Xenopus tropicalis: one gene and its partners. The main gene of each other region encodes a partner of the protein of the gene in region 3 in a complex. Links are inferred from orthologs where the notes say so. Each region holds a gene or a part of one and is shown on either strand. Other genes may lie near its edges. The genes, in order: castor1, seh1l, mios and wdr59.

Region 1 (4,233 bases), on a different chromosome or scaffold from region 3:
CCATCAAACGTATGCTTAAGCACTGTATTCAGTACATATGCTCAACATAGAATCCAATGACAATTGAGAAGAGCAGCTTTGATGTTTGCACCTTGGTCACTCACAAACACAATTTTGGAATATAACTTGGATGTAATGCCATATTCAGACAGTTCTTTGTTAATCTGCCCAGTAAGATTTTCAGCTGTTTTAGAAACTCCTGCCTCAAATTCGGATAATGCAATGACTTTGGCTTTTAATAGCCAGGTATTGACTACATGTAAAAAGTGGCAAGTTAGCACAGTATATGCCTGTTTATGGTGTTTGTCAGTCCACATATCAGTAGTGATTGCTATGCCATCTTCTAGTGCTTTTCTAATTTAGCTGTTTCTACAGCCTTCTTACATATAGTATTTCTGTGGGGAAGAATCATATCTGCACTAACAGATCCATAGGTAGCACCAATATTAATAAGTGACTGGGCAAAGCGCTTAAATCCTTCCTGTCACAATATCAAAAGGCCTAATATCCATACAGTACAAATCAACACATGAATCTAACAACTGTAATTTGACATTTACTGGAATTTTAGATACATCTTTTAGAAAGTATGACACTATAGGCTTTGTTGTTGCTGGCTCTGCTATGTAAGGAGAAGATGCTGCAGTGGTTCTACCTGTGGAACTTTGCCCACATATGTGTCTGCTTAGATTAGAAGTACCAGTCTTGTGACTGTCATATTTATAAAGTGCTTTGCATTTCACACAGCTTACATAGCCTTTGTATTTACATTTGTCTGCGCTAACTACCTCCCCCAAATTGTTTCCACACTATAGATTTCTGCATCTTTTTTCTGTTGTACTTTAAGTTCTCCACTTTGCAACAAATCACATGTATTTTTAATGTCACAAGCAGGTGGGATTTTCCTGGTGTGCCTTTGAGCTACTAGTACTAGATCAAGCTGAAGACATGTTTATTGTTGCTGCTCTCAAACCTTGCAAACCTGAAGAGGCAGAGAATGTTTGGGAGGCGAGGCGGTTCCATGACGTTATGGGCGGGGCCACAATAAATTCTATTGCTGATTGAGCAGCTGGGCGGGCAACAAACCACAGGGGGCGTGTATAAGGCTGCTCTCTCCTCTGAACAGTAATTGCTGGCAGTAAGGCACTGGCTGCCTGTGATACAGCATCAGGAAAGGCTTTGCGGGCAATAAAATTACAATGATAGGCAGTCGAGTAGCTGACTACCAGAGAGGGAACGATGCACACACTACTAGAACGTCTCTACTATTTAATGAAAAGTGTAAATTTGCCCTCAGTCCCTAACTTCTGCAGCTTCTCGCCCCTCCCCTTTCCCCACATCAATCAATGTTTTTTCCCTCAGTGAGCGATCTGCTATCCGTACCGCCCCCCCTCTGGTTCCTGTTACTGTCTGTTCAGCCTCTTCCATCCCATGGCCTGCAATACCTTCCAAGAATATCAGGTACCCGACCCGCACCCGCCATGAACATCCAATATTCGGGCCGAACCCACTGGGTTTCGGGTCAGCCGGCACATCACCCTGTGTGTCACTATGAGCCCGGCCCATGCTACTGATTGACACATCCCTTCCTAGCAAGGCCACGCCCCGTGGAGCACGCTGTGGGTCTCGGCTGGGTGTCCGTGCAATGGATCTACAGCTGCTGGAGCATCGGGTGCGAGTGACCAGCATTGAGAAGTGTGGCCTGTGGTTCTACACCCACCCGCTGGTCAAACTACTGTTCCTGAGGCAGCGCACCAGGTATATAAAGAACACACGGGCGGGGAGAGAGCCAAAGCTGCTGGGCTGTGGTACTCGGGGAGAGAGAGCACTATTGCCCCTAACACTGGCAGCACCAGCTGCATATGAGTGAGGAAGGGACCTGCACTGTAGATCATTTACGAGTTGCACGGCTTGCCCGACTAGTCCTAGAACTTGGCCGATGGTTCAGTCTCATTGCATTGCATTGCATCAGGGAACCATGTGGGGCAAGGACTGCACTTGCACTTGCCTTTGCCTTTTGATTTCATCCTCACTAGCGGTTAGTGTGGTTGCTATTGGTTACTGCACCTGTCTAATATCTGCACCTACAGTGCTGGCATCCTGCAACCTGTGCCTGGTATCCTTGCTGTCCTGCCATTGTGGGTAGGGTTCTCCTACAGCTGTTGCACTACAAATCCTAGCAGCATCCACTGAGCTCCTGAAGCTGTAGTCACATGGTGGGAGTTGTAATTGAACAACAGTTGGGCAGCTCATTTAGGGGCATGAATTGCACAGGCCAGGCAGCATGTTCTGAGTTTGGCTTGCTGCCCCTGGCAGTTTCCTGACATTCAGTCTATGTGAGAGCGTTTTATCAGCTGTGACCACTTGCTTCTATTCTGTAATGCACCGACTGATTAGTATTGGGCTCTGCATCCAGTGTGAGTGTGATGATGGGCATAGAGAAACTAGTTATGCCTGCATGCCCTGCTGTTGTGTTCCAGATCCCAGTGAGATCAATAAAGCATGGTTTCCTGCAGTGTGTAATAAATATATATATATATATATATATATATATATCATAATAGGCACTGTGCTACATACAATACAAGGTTCTTGGTTAACCGTTTTTTTTTTTTTTTTTTATAAAGAATTTCTGTAAGCGATTAATGATATGACCACATTTCATAAGACATCCCAGTGCTCACATACAAAGGCATCCTATACATTTGCACAAGATTAACTGTGTGACCTACAAAGACAGACACACTCTCCTCAGTGCAAGAAAGCACTCACTGTTACACTTAAACAATTAAAAGGGGGACCTAGAGTAAAAGAAAATGTGTGCTTCATTTCCTGTTATTTATCTTATTATTTAGTTTGCTACTTTGCGTATGAGTCACTTTCCTGAAATACAGTTATGGGATCTGCTATTAAGAAAGCTGGGGACCCAAGGTTTTTGGATAAAGGGTATTAAAGGGTCTTTCTGTAGCTTGGGGCACTGTACCTTAATGCTTGCAAAAACATTAAATCAACTCAGTAGGACTGTGTTGCTACCAATATGGATTCATGCAGTTTAGTGTCAAGTACAAGCTACTGTTTTAATATTACAGAGAAAAAGGAAATGATTTAAAAAAAAAAAAAATGCTTGTTTAAATTGGACATTATGAAAATTAAAAATTTGTATGTCAAACCTTTCTGGAGAATGGCTTTTCACATTAAAGAGTCTATATCTGTACCCATATTTACTTTTAAAATATATAGAACAGCTCATTCTCTCATGTTAAAACAAGACAGGTGTTCCTGTTCTCTTGCTAGAGGGCCGGTGACGCTTATCTACTAAGCAGAGTAGGAAATGAGTTGGTATGTCTGCCATTGTGGACTGCTTGTTTTAACTTGCTGGAGAGAACAATCTGTTTCTATTATGTAGATGTTTTAACTAAAACAATTTATGTTATAGCTAAAACAATGGAGCTTGATGTGTAGTAGCAATAGAAGCACACTCTCTTCTGGCTATAGATTGCACTTAGTGTAAAGTGATCCCATTCAGGGCTAGGTATCAAGTGGTGCTAAATCAAATCTAATAGTACTATTTGATGCAAAATTAACCCTGATTTATCTTAAATTGGAAATCTGCCCTGTACTGGACACATACCACCTGGATATGTTCCATTTGCTCCATATGTTGCTGTCCCATGTGATAAGTAACATTTTTCCATGGCAGTTTTATGTACTGGCTTTCTGAGCTGGAAATGGCTGTAACCTGGTTACTGCAGAAATTATACACCTGTCGCAAATGGATGTGCTTGTTCTTCCTGTGTGAGGCTATTTAAGGGAATATAGCATGTGGAGCTTTCTGATAACACCAGTGTAAAATGCAAGATACAAGCTGCACACATCAGTGGGGGTGTGCAACAGGTCTCCCCAAACCATCTCTTAAGATTGTGGTGGTGCATTGCAAGTGCGCCTTTCAGCTCTCAGTTGATCTCTGTTAGGGGTGATCATTTGGTGGCATTGGGGTTTTTCAAAGCAAGAAGTAGCAGAAGACTGCCTAACTGAGTTGGGATTTGATGGAATCTATACCTATCAGTAGACATGTTACATGTTAGTAGAAAAATGCCTACTGGGAAAATAGTCAGTAGGCCTATATTTGTGGGAAAGCCATTATGGTTTAGGCTCAGAGAATTACTGAATCCATTGATATACATTGAATTAGCAGTACATTTTCCATTACTTAAAAGGAGTTGTTCACCTTTA
Region 2 (3,563 bases), about 69 Mb from region 3:
AGCTGTTTTGTTTGGATGAGCTGTTAAGTATTAGGGTGATATTCAGCCACGCTGGGTGACAAGTTGCACAGCTCTGAAGTCAATGGGAAGCAGACTGTGGTGGACATCAGGTATTTTTTTTACCGCGCTACAAATATAGACAATCAAAATGTTCCATGTGAAAATAGTCTAAGTCCCCATTATGGGCCACTTAGACAATAGAAAGCTCTCTGGAGGAGCAAACAGCTATTTAGTAGCTTGAAGGCAGCATTACGGGCTGTTCAACCAAGGTTTGGGCCTCACAGCAGGATGGGAACGCACACAGCAGGATGGGAGAGCACACAGGGGAGCGCACACAGCAGGTTGGCAAGTACTTAGTATGGCAGCTTTCTTAGCCTTCCCAAACTTGCCTGACAGTTAAAAAAAAAAAAAAAAAAAAACAACAAAGCAGTAGGAGCTGCATTTCCCACCCTAGGCTTATACTTGAGTCAATAAATTTTTCCAGTTTTCTTAGGTAAAATTAGGTACCTCGGCGATCGGCTTATACTAGAGTATATACGGTAAATAAACTGTTTCGTATGTGTTTAATTTTAATATACTGCTGCCTTGCACTTACTGGTGTATTAAACAGGACATTTCTTGTCTGGAAATAGTTTTTCTAGATGTTCAATCAACAGATACTAACTAGGGCCTAATTTGCTAGTCCTTTTTTAAAGGGACAGTATAATGAAAGGAAATGTCTCCATTGCCATTAAACAGAGCAAAAGGTTTAGTGATTGGGTACTACTGGGAAAAGCTGCCATGCTTCAATAATGAAAAAAAGTTTATTAGTTATTACAGTATTATGAGTGGCGGATTAATAGCTGTTGCTACCCTATGCAATTGTTGCATGCTTAATACTGTAAATGTGCATGTGCCAGTTGGTGGAAATTGGGTACTCAGCCCCTCATCTTGTTTGTTAATTTAGCCACTAGAATCTAGTGGTGGTCTGGAGCTTTAAAAAGAAAATGCTATATACACCTCTGCTACTGCTCTAGGCACAAACCTTGTGTGCTTGCATAGAAAACACAGCCCTCAATATTAGCATGCTATTCCTAAACGCACACATATTTAAATACACTGTATTTAATGCACAGAGCAGTCGGAGCAGCTTGTAATTTACTTTAACCTTTGTATTCTGGAAGGAAAATGTTATTTTTGTCTTGTTCTTAAGACCCACAGTGGTTCAGTATGGCGGGTAACATGGGCTCACCCAGAATTCGGCCAGGTATTAGCCTCATGTTCGTTTGACAGAACTGCTGCAGTGTGGGAAGAAATAGTTGGTGAATCAAATGATAAACTGCGCGGACAGAGTCATTGGGTAAGACCTATTGTCAGATATATGAGCACATTTTTCCCAGTATTGAGCTTGTTTGAAAACTGTATATATGATTATATGATAATTATATTTTGATTGCACCTTTTCAATATACACCTGGATGTGCATCATTTTTGTCTATATATAACATCATGAGTGTTCAACTGGAAGATTTGTAATTTACCCCAGTATGTACAGTCTGAAAAATGTGGGCAGTCCTTTCCAAATTAAATATTTAGTAAATTTATAGTAAACAAATACAGTTGAATCAGAAACCGCATATTTGCAAACATTAATTCACAGATCCATTTTATTTTGCAAACTTTAAAGCATAGAGAAGTATAAACAAATGCAAGAAATTATGGCATGTGCAAAGGTTTGGACACCCTTTCACCTGACCCTAATTACCCCATTAGGCCTTAATATCTATTAGGAGTTGTCAACTGTTAACATTTGAATAGCATAATGAAATCTCTGTTAGTCAACAATCATGGACTCCATAATGCAACTGTGCGAACATCTGACAAAGTTAATTGTCGCCATGTCATCAAGAAATGGCAGGGGAAGGGGAACTGTGGAAGTCTAGAGACAATCTGACAGAGCAAGATTAAGAGCAAGACTGGTGTTGCATAGTTTCATGGCACAGCACTGCTTACACAAACATGATCTGCATGGAAGAGTCATCAAAGGAAAGCTTAACCTTCAACTTCATCACAAACATCAACATCTAAGCTAAGGAATACAAAACAGTGATCTTTTAAAGTGCTGTGAACTAAAGTAAAAATTAACTCTTTGGCCACTCTCAAAGGTTTGTTTGGAATAAAAAGAAGCAGAATTTGATGACTAAGAAACACATTGGCAACTTTTAAAGGGATAGTGATGTTCAATATTTCAGCAGAAATGTGTCACTATGCCTAAATAAACCCTAATGTCAATCATTTTTTTAATGGAGGTCTCCAACACCAACAGAAAACAAAAGTTGTTTGGTGACTCTATACACTGCTTTATCAATAGGTTAAAAGCTAGAGGTGGCATAGCGCTGACTTTTTGAGCAGCATCCAAATTAAGGGGAAATGTATGTTTGGTCACCATTATTTATTTATTCTGATTCTGCTTTAGGTTAAAAGAACAACACTAGTGGACAGCAGGACATCTGTAACCGATGTAAAGTTTGCTCCAAAACACATGGGTCTGATGCTGGCAACCTGCTCTGCAGATGGAGTGGTGAGAATATATGAGGCCCCTGATGTTATGAACCTCAGTCAGTGGTCCCTGCAGCATGAAATCTCATGCAAACTGAGCTGCAGTTGTATCTCTTGGAATCCCTCTAGGTTAGTTATAAACAATTTACTTTGTTACATCTCTGAATGTGTATATGAAAATAGGAAAGCAAATGAGACTTTGCAGACTATTTACATCAGTGGTTACATAAGTGCTACTTATGCTAGATCTACTCATGTCAAGGAGCATTACATATATGACAAACTAAAGCTTTGCTGAAATGTTAAAGGGAACTATTGTTAAAATTGAAATTTCATATGAGCTTTCTAAATATAATCAGCTAAACATTGGGTATAGTTGCAAAATAAACTTTGTAAATGTTACAAATTTAGTATTAAGTTTTACTAGACATGTAAAGAGGCAGTATTCTTCCGTATTCAACACGCATTTAGTGAATAGATAAACATAATATTTAACAAAGGTTTTCTTCATACAAATACATTTTTTAACTCTCTGGTTCATGCAGGAAGTTTTGCGAGGGAAAGAAGGTAGTTAGTCGGATTAGCAGTTTACAGATAAAACGGCTGATTAGAGCTTTGTTACATTAGGAATTTTCTCCACCAGTGCATCTATGCATCCTATACACTGTGCTATAATTTGCTGAAATGGCAGCTTTAAAGCAAAATACCTATTGGTACCTTTTAATGAAAAATAAAATATGAATGTTCACTTATTAAATTATTAGCATTTCATATTTAAATTAAGGTTTGTTTCATATTATGAATCAAACATTTTATTTATTCTTTTATTTGGTTGTTTTAGCTCCCGAGCCCATTCTCCTATGATTGCTGTAGGCAGTGACGACAGCAGCCCAAATATCATGGGAAAAGTACAGATCTATGAATATAATGAGAACACAAGGTATCGAATACAAAAAAGTTTTCGTACTGTGCGTATTTTTTGCGACTTTTTCGTACTTTGCGACAAGCGTGACTTTCCTTGGGCC
Region 3 (3,563 bases):
AGCAGCAAGTATACTCCAGAGGTAGCAGTTCCTACGGAGAAAGTCCGTCTTGCACCCGGTGATAGTGAAACATGTTCAGTGGTTACCAAACCACTTTATGAATTAGGACAGAATGATGCTTCCCTCTCTCTTTGTTGGCTTCCGAGAGACCAGAAACTGCTTTTGGCTGGGATGCATCGTAACTTGGCAATATTTGATTTGAGGAATACAAATCAGAAAATTTTTGTAAATACTAAAGCTGTCCAAGGGGTGACAGTGGACCCGCATTTCCATGACAGAGTAGCTTCATTTTTTGAAGGTCAAGTCGCCATTTGGGATCTTCGAAAATTTGAAAAACCAGTGTTAACGTTAACAGAGCAACCAAAACCCCTAACCAAAGTAGCCTGGTGCCCAACTAGAACTGGACTGCTGGCTACTCTGACTAGAGACAGTAATATTATCAGACTGTATGACATGCAGCACACTCCCACACCCATTGGGGACGAAACAGAGCCTACCATCATTGAAAGGAGTGTCCAGCCTTGTGATAACTATATTGCATCTTTTGCTTGGCACCCTACAAGCCAAAACCGAATGGTGGTCGTTACTCCTAACAGGTCAATGTCAGATTTTACTGTGTTTGAGAGGATCTCTTTGGCTTGGAGCCCCACAACTTCACTGATGTGGGCTTGCAGCAGGCAGCTGTATGAATGTACAGAGGAAGGGAAATGCAGCTCTTCATTAGATCGAGATATAGCCACTAAAATGAGACTCAGAGCTTTATCACGATATGGACTCGACACAGAGCAGGTCTGGAGAAATCATCTGTTGGCAGGAAATGATGATCCTCAGTTGAAATCCTTGTGGTACACTTTACACTATATCCTTTTTTAGTTCTGTAATATTAATTACTAGTTGTTATTTAGACCATCTGATTTTGTAGGGCCACAGAACTGATGACTGGGGTCACAAGTGGCAGTGAGGGTCATCAGCACTAGAATGTTGAGTGCAAGTCGCTTACTGATCTAATATCTGGCATCCTCAAACTATGGGCCGCAGGCCGGATATGGCCCCCAAGGTAATTTACCCGGCCCCCACTCTGATCTGATGCGAGGACGTAGGGGAACCCGGAGGACACAGGGGGGAGCGGGAGCATGCGGGGGGGGGGAGCCGGAGGATCAGAGGATGTGGGGGGGGGGAGCCAGAGGACGCGGGGGGGAGCCGGAGGAAGCAGGGGAGAGTAGGAGGACGCAGCCGGGAGGGGGCCATAGTATGAGGACACGGGGGGAGGAATTAAGTCCCCCCCCAACAGTCTGAGGGACCATGAACTGGCCCCCTGCTTAAAAAGTTTGAGGACCCCTGCTCTAAATAGTCAGCAGCAATGGGCATGCTCAGTTCTAGATACCTTAAATAATCTGCCCAGTATTTGCATCACTACTTACTGTTTTCATGCTTACAATTCCTATATACATCAACACTTATGAAGCAGTATGCAGAAGATATTGACCAAAAAACTTCAGGAAACAAAGGGTTATTGGTGTATGCTGGAATCAAAGCAATCACAAAGTCATCAATGGGTAAGGTCAATTATGAATACTTTGGTTTTTATAACCTACGTGCCTGGAACACTGACCAAAGCTGGACTTGTTATTAAGTGGGTGGCATAAATCTAAAGTTTAATTTCCCAAAGAAAGTGTAGTGACTGATACGTTTGCAGCTCCTGTACAAGCACACACAGAATGAATTAATATTCCTGTTTATGCACTAATTATTAAGTTCAGTGCTGATGCAGATGTCTTAAAAATACATTGAACAAAACATTGTACCGCTTACCTAGTTTACAACTTATAAGGAATGTAAATACTTTACAAACAGATATAAGATCAAGGCAAATATAAGTATTTCTTTTCTGCTAAAGCTGGCAGTATTGTTAATCCTCTCCATTGGCACTTTGACAAAGTTGACATGGGGGATTGTGATTGGTGGACCCTGTTTTCATAGTAAAGACTAGAGACAGAAGGGAGGGACAGAGTAAGGCACATTCATAATGCAGACAAGGGAAGTATGTCCATAGCTCACTATTTTTATACAGCTTTTCTTCTTTTTACTGTTTAATAAATTATATTTTCAAGGGATAGTTGTGTAAAGGGAAACTAGTGCAGATGCATTCCAATTAAAGTTTTATTGTGCCCAAGGCATTATCGGTAGTTAACAAGACAAATATTAACCAGATATCTGTTCTATAAAGGGACAACTGAAAGTTTCAGGCACAGCTGGACCGGCTCTGATAGACAAGCAGATATTGTGCACTTTTCCAGTGAGGAAAGATGTCTTGCCCTACAACTTTGTGGCTGGAGGACAAAGGGTGCTGATGCCGACATGGGGCATTTTCTGAACTCCTTGGAGCAGGAAGGAGAGTGGGAGAGAGCAGCTGCTATAGCCCTGTTTAATAGAGACATTCGGCGTGCCATACAGATCTTAAATAAGGGAGCATCCACTGGGAAAGGTATGTGGCTGTTTGCCAACCCTTATGGCTAAAGGCAAGTGGGCATTTTGATCTTGGATTGCTTCCCATCGACATCATTGGAAACTGCCATTAGTCATAATACATGATGATCATTTTTGGTCAATAATTGTGACCAGCAATACGTAGGCCTTTCCACCAGCGAGTCAAGTTATACACTCACCTAAAGGTTTATTAGGAACACCTGTTCAATTTCTCATTAATGCAATTATCTAATCAACCAATCACATGGCAGTTGCTTCAATGCAATTAGGGGTGTGGTCCTGGTCAAGACAATCTCCTGAACTCCAAACTGAATGTCAGAATGGGAAAGAAAGGTGATTTAAGCAATTTTGAGCGTACAACCATTTCTAGGGTTTACAAAGAATGGTGTGAAAAGGGAAAAACATCCAGTATGTGGCAGTCCTGTGGGCGAAATGCCTTGTTGATTCTAGAGGTCAGAGAAGGGTATTAGTATGGTGTTCCTAATAATCCTTTAGGTGAGTGTATCTTCTGGCTTAAGGTCCCCATACACGGGCCGACTATAGCTGCCGATTTCGGTCCCTTGGACCGATTCGGCAGCTAATCAGCCCGTGTATGGGCAGAACAGAGCGGCCTGGCCGACCGATATCTGGCCTAAAATTGGCCAGATCTCGATCGGCCAGGTTAGAAAATCCAGTCGGATCGGGGACCGCATCGGCTCGTTGATGCGGTCCCCGAACCGACTGCCCCATAACTACAAATGTAATCCGATCGTTTCGCCCCAGGGCCAAACGATCGGATTATTTTTTTTTTAAGTTTCTTGCTACCCGATATCGCCCACCCGTAGGTGGGGATATTGGGTGAAGATCCGCTCGCTTGGCGACATCGCCAAGCGAGCGGGTCTTATAGTGTATGGGCACCTTTAAGAGGCCTTAAAATATTAAAACAGTAGAGAGTTTTTAATTGAGCTAGGGAACGGTTGATGGATGAAAGTCACTGTTAACTAACATTTTAACATAAGTGTGAGATATTGATCATTGAAGTTAACTCAGTTTTTGTAAATTGTAGGTAATCTAAACCTAAACGTTGTAGCAATGGC
Region 4 (4,305 bases), on a different chromosome or scaffold from region 3:
GGCTCTCTGCCAAAAGCTACTTATTTAATTAGGCTAATGTCAGACGAGGCGTCTGCCGTATATTTTCGGCAAGCGGAAAATCGATTGCCAAAATACCGCCATCTGCCTCCTACCTGTGCCTGCACCGAATGAATGTAATACGCTCAAGTGCTTTTCCGCTTGCCATAAATATATGCCAGACGCCTCGTCTGACATAAGGCTGATGCCACACGCGGCATAGGGCTGATTTTTTCGGCAAGTGGAAAAACGCTTGCTGAAAAATCAGCCCTACACCTGCTACTTGTGCCTGCACCCGAATGAATAGCAATAGCAGTATTGGGGAGCTCAACCCTCTGTTAACTTACCCAAACGGGTATCAGGTGCAAATACTGGAAGAACCTCACCTTGCATGGGGGTCAATATCCAACAGCAAAAAAATCCAGTAGCACACTGAAGATGCAAATCGTGAAAAAAATGTATTTTATTTGCCCAAGTACATAAAAACAAGCAAAGAGCAACGTTTCGGGACCCTCCGGACCCTTTCTCAAGCTTGAGAAAGGGTCCGGAGGGTCCCGAAACGTTGCTCTTTGCTTGTTTTTATGTACTTGGGCAAATAAAATACAATTTTTTCACGATTTGCATCTTCAGTGTGCTACTGGATTTTTTTGCTGCACCCGAATGAATGGGATACGCTCGGGTGCAGGCACATGTAGCCGATATACGCATGAAAACGCGAGAGAATGCAAAGTCTAGCGTTTTCATGCGTATATCGGCTACATGTGCCTGCACCTGAGCGTATCCCATTCATTCGGGTGCAGGCACAAGTAGGAGGCGTAGGGCTGAATTTTCGGCAAGCGTTTATCCGCTTGCCGAAAATTTCAGCCCTACGCTTCATGTGGCATTAGCCTTAGCCTTAAAAGCGAGAAACAATGTTTCTAAGTGCAGGTGAAGCTCAATCAGATTTCTGGGCTCTCTGCCAAAAGCTACTTTTAATTAAATTTGTATCTTTTTTTAGCTTCAGTGCAAGAGATCAAAGGGAAATGAGGGACTTTTCAGTAAGAATCTGGGACTGCGGGTTAAGCTGTCAAAAGAGGGAATGTCCTGCGAAAATCGGAACAGTTGGGAGGTATGTTGAAGCAGTAATAAATTATCCCTATTATATTGTATATTATCCCTATTATATTGTTATTGGTTTTTAAACTTCAGAGAACCACCGCTTGACCAGCAATAACTTATCAGACAAGCAAGGAGGGATCACAGCAGCAGCAGGATGAACAGATAATACGTTTCATGGTGTATATTAGTTATGACAGATCAGCCAGACCTAAATGCCAAAACTACAGCGCAATAACATTCATTTTTAGAAAGATTTATCTTAAAATTGTTCATGAACTCAGGTATGATTTTGATCTTTTGTATTCCCAGGTATAATCCTTTTTTCAAGGTTGACGAAAATCTAACTTTTATCTCCACATAAAATTTGTATTTTTAAGGCAGTGCCCTTTTCTTTTGATGTCTTCGTGTTATACACTGTTCCTTACACTTACCACATCGTCTTTAGTTTTCATGCCAATGTGAGAAAAAACTACTAGTCCCAGAATTCTCTATTCACTGGCGTTAAGGTGTTGCTCGGCGACAAGGACGTCGTGATGCAAGACGTTGTTGTTGTTATTGCGGCCGCCTGGTAAGTAGGCAAAGATGGCGGCTCACTGGAGCAGCGAGAACGTGGTGGTAGAATTTCGGGATTCGCAGGTGAGTGGAATAAATGCAGGAGCTGTGGGTTCACTGCAAATATCGAGCGCTCTAATCTGAACAACCTACAGAAAAATCGGCAGATAGAAGGGAGTGGCTTGCGCATGCCTAGTAGTAGACGCCTAATGATTGAGTCAGTTTTTAGCTGTCAGGGGAGGTAGACATGGCTCCAGTATGCCTGGACTTCTCTTTACAATTAGTTTTATAGTGTTTTGTATATTCAGGAGGCCATTAAGTGCAATTGTCAGATTGTTGACCTATTAAATAATGTGATCTACTGTTCAGTATATATATATATATTTTTTTTTTTCTTTAGCTCAGTCACGTTGCTTGTCCTAGTATCTAGAATTGTAGCACAAGTTCCAAAAGGCATGTCATTTTTAGTGTGGTAAAATGAATTTGAACATTTCCTTGTTTCCGTGTTCTTTTGTTTTCTCCTGCATTCCAAAATTATAACAAGCAGGATTACTGGCTTTTAATAAAAAAAAAAAAACTAAAGATTAATCCACTCTCTCAAGGTAACAGTGCTTCACTTACACATATAGTTGCCTATTGAAGCGCTGGGTGTAAAACTATGATCCCCTCTGCCCAGGGTCACTCCTTGTAGAAAGAAAGAAAGCCTCAGCAGCACGTAATGATGAAACAAAGGCGATTTATTCGGGCCACAAGTAAGGCAACATTTTGGGCTCTACAAGCGCTATTAAGCCTTAAAAGGCTTGATAAAGGGCTGGAAGAGCCTGAAACATTTCCTTACTTGTAGCACAAATATATCACCTTTGTTTCACCAAAGTGATCTATGCTCTTATACAGAGTTAATGAGAAATTCTTTAATCAAAATAAAATTTGCAGTGTTTTCTCTCCATCCCTCAGTGATAATTCGCAAGAGTGGCAAAATGCTGCCCCCCTAAGACTCTTGAAAGCAGCAGTATATATGTATACTGAATATATATGTGTTCTAGTGCCTAGCATGTTAAACAAGCAACCATAGAAAGAAGTATCTTGTAACAAAACCAGTACATAAAAAATGATTTTATTCAAGGTTTCATATTAAAATGTCAGTATACATACAAACCCTAGTATCTCCATGGAGTGTGTATATTTTTCCTGTGCTTGTATAAGTATGCCCTGAGCACTCCACTGTCCATAAGGGTGAATAATGGGACAGCTTGAAGCCTAAATTATACACTCATTAGGTTTTAATCTGGGCCCATCCATTACACTATATAAGGTAATCCTAGTTACTGCCCTAATAGCTTTGTATTGTTGTTTTATTTCTGTAAAAAATATTTTTTTCATCCTGGTCACAAAAAGAAAATATAAAATAAATCCACTATAAATGTATTATTTATTATGTAAAGAATCATAACTTGCAAATATGTAATGTTTTTATAGGCAACTGCTATGTCAGTCGATTGCCAAGGACAGCTTGCTGTACTTTCTGGGTAAGTTTGTTTCCAGGAAAAAAATAGTGTGCATAGTGTATTTATACATTTATTGATATAGCACTGTGCTGATTACACAGAGCTGAGACATCAGTGACCAGTTCAAGAGTAGTGCATTTGTTTTATGGATCTCTGTCTGTATAAATTGCCAGGATTTTTAAGATTGAAAGATTCAAAAGAACTTACATTCTAACTACGGAACTAAGGGACCTTTGGACAGTGGGGCACTTATTTAGGTTTCTGTTATAAGAACCAATATCTGGTTTAAGGCATTCTGAGTGCACTACTTATATCTTACTTTATCAGAATGCACATTTGCATCAGCAACTAAACAAAATGTAAAACAAAAAAAAAAAGCTTTTTGATTATTTTGTCTTTTAATACAGTAATTCTTGTGCCCGTGCAAGTGTGCATATTTGCTATAAAATTTGTTCTATTCACTTTTGCACCATGCTGGTTTGTACTGATATTGGTTTATATAAAACCAATATTAACCTTAAGCTGGCCATACACGCACCGATAATGTACAAAACCTCGCTTCGTACGATATTCGGTGCGTGTATAGCAAGTCGGCAAGTCGACCGATATCGCAGGAGGCTGCTGATATCGGTCGACTCGCCGATCGGCCAGGTTAAAATATTTTGATCGGGCGCCATAGAAGGCGCCTGATCAAAATCTGCCTTCAGGGCTGAATCGGCAGAAGGAGGTAGAAATCCTATTGTTTCTACCTCCTTATCTGCCGTTTCAGCCGTGAATGGTTAGTGGTTGATTGTACGATCTTTCGTGCGACCATCGGTCGGCTTCGGCACATGGTATGCGGCGGTGCGGACGAAAAGACACCGCGCACGGGCGCACACGACCGAACGTACGCCGCTCACGGGCACCCCGCGACTGACGCTGCACGCATGCGAGTTTCGAATTTAAGGACGCTGAGGCCTGTACACTTTGCGAAGTGATCATTTTTGCTTGCAATCGTCACCGATCATTTCTGGTATTCCTGATTGATCCTTGGACTTCTGATTTCAGCTTGCTTCTGACTACTCTTCGGTTACCCCTTGGCTTGACTTCGGACTCTGACTTCTGATTTGACCCCGGCCTGTTTTATGATCTTCTCTTCTGCATTTGGTGCCTG

The links.
Region 1: the proteins of mios (region 3) and castor1 are in contact, whole or in part, in a cryo-EM structure (PDB 9LVK), measured with the Homo sapiens proteins. The link is inferred for Xenopus tropicalis from reciprocal best matches to the Homo sapiens genes MIOS and CASTOR1. Residues at the interface, in NP_001357005.1 of Homo sapiens: Ala83, Asn84, Val109, Pro110, Lys111, His112, Ala113, Arg114, Asp134, Lys135, His136, Arg137, Asn184; in NP_001032755.1 of Homo sapiens: Val94, Ser116, Thr117, Tyr118, Gln119, Thr120, Asp121, Thr188, Tyr236, Leu255, Thr256, Ser257, Ser258, Ala295, Tyr296.
Region 2: the proteins of mios (region 3) and seh1l are in contact, whole or in part, in a cryo-EM structure (PDB 7UHY), measured with the Homo sapiens proteins. The link is inferred for Xenopus tropicalis from reciprocal best matches to the Homo sapiens genes MIOS and SEH1L. Residues at the interface, in NP_001357005.1 of Homo sapiens: Arg279, Arg316, Ser317, Phe353, Glu354, Arg355, Ile356, Ser357, Leu358, Ala359, Trp360, Pro362, Leu366, Met367, Trp368, Ala369, Cys370, Gly371, Arg372, Leu374, Tyr375, Glu376, Cys377, Thr378, Glu379, Glu380, Glu387, Asp389, Ile390, Ala391; in NP_112493.2 of Homo sapiens: Met1, Phe2, Val3, Ala4, Arg5, Ser6, Ile7, Ala9, His11, Lys12, Asp13, Leu14, Ile15, His16, Asp17, Val18, Phe20, Phe22, His23, Gly24, Arg25, Met27, Trp47, Ser173, Ser174, Ser175, Asn230, Leu231, Gly232, Arg233.
Region 4: the proteins of mios (region 3) and wdr59 are in contact, whole or in part, in a cryo-EM structure (PDB 7UHY), measured with the Homo sapiens proteins. The link is inferred for Xenopus tropicalis from reciprocal best matches to the Homo sapiens genes MIOS and WDR59. Residues at the interface, in NP_001357005.1 of Homo sapiens: Asp705, Trp710, His711, Arg713, Ala714, Ile718, Ser721, Lys728, Pro729, Leu730, Ala731, Gln732, Val733, Phe734, Val735, Ser736, Cys737, Asn738, Phe739, Ile744, Lys780, Pro781, Leu782, Pro783, Leu787, Cys788, Leu789, Gly793, Pro795, Gln819; in NP_085058.3 of Homo sapiens: Tyr871, Arg876, Glu877, Arg879, Ala880, Glu881, Leu883, Lys884, Pro889, Pro890, His893, Lys894, Gly895, Ile896, Glu897, Phe898, Gly899, Val900, Tyr901, Arg906, Glu908, Val909, Arg910, Thr912, Phe922, Gln923, Ala925, Ile926, Cys927, His928.

The regions. Positions count from the first base shown.
Region 1 is NC_030677.2:144,403,171-144,407,403, forward strand, and holds the start of castor1 (GATS-like protein 3), read left to right. Parts: upstream 1-1,408; 5' UTR 1,409-1,645; coding exon 1,646-1,758; intron 1,759-4,233. UniProt on the Homo sapiens protein: Functions as an intracellular arginine sensor within the amino acid-sensing branch of the TORC1 signaling pathway. As a homodimer or a heterodimer with CASTOR2, binds and inhibits the GATOR subcomplex GATOR2 and thereby mTORC1.
Region 2 is NC_030682.2:103,472,735-103,476,297, reverse strand, and holds part of seh1l (nucleoporin SEH1), read left to right. Parts: intron 1-1,192; coding exon 1,193-1,339; intron 1,340-2,455; coding exon 2,456-2,667; intron 2,668-3,379; coding exon 3,380-3,478; intron 3,479-3,563. UniProt on the Homo sapiens protein: Component of the Nup107-160 subcomplex of the nuclear pore complex (NPC). The Nup107-160 subcomplex is required for the assembly of a functional NPC.
Region 3 is NC_030682.2:34,373,305-34,376,867, forward strand, and holds part of mios (GATOR complex protein MIOS), read left to right. Parts: coding exon 1-859; intron 860-1,457; coding exon 1,458-1,556; intron 1,557-2,227; coding exon 2,228-2,485; intron 2,486-3,532; coding exon 3,533-3,563. UniProt on the Homo sapiens protein: As a component of the GATOR2 complex, functions as an activator of the amino acid-sensing branch of the mTORC1 signaling pathway. The GATOR2 complex indirectly activates mTORC1 through the inhibition of the GATOR1 subcomplex.
Region 4 is NC_030680.2:74,564,577-74,568,881, forward strand, and holds the start of wdr59 (GATOR complex protein WDR59), read left to right. Parts: upstream 1-1,495; 5' UTR 1,496-1,677; coding exon 1,678-1,731; intron 1,732-3,123; coding exon 3,124-3,173; intron 3,174-4,305. UniProt on the Homo sapiens protein: As a component of the GATOR2 complex, functions as an activator of the amino acid-sensing branch of the mTORC1 signaling pathway. The GATOR2 complex indirectly activates mTORC1 through the inhibition of the GATOR1 subcomplex.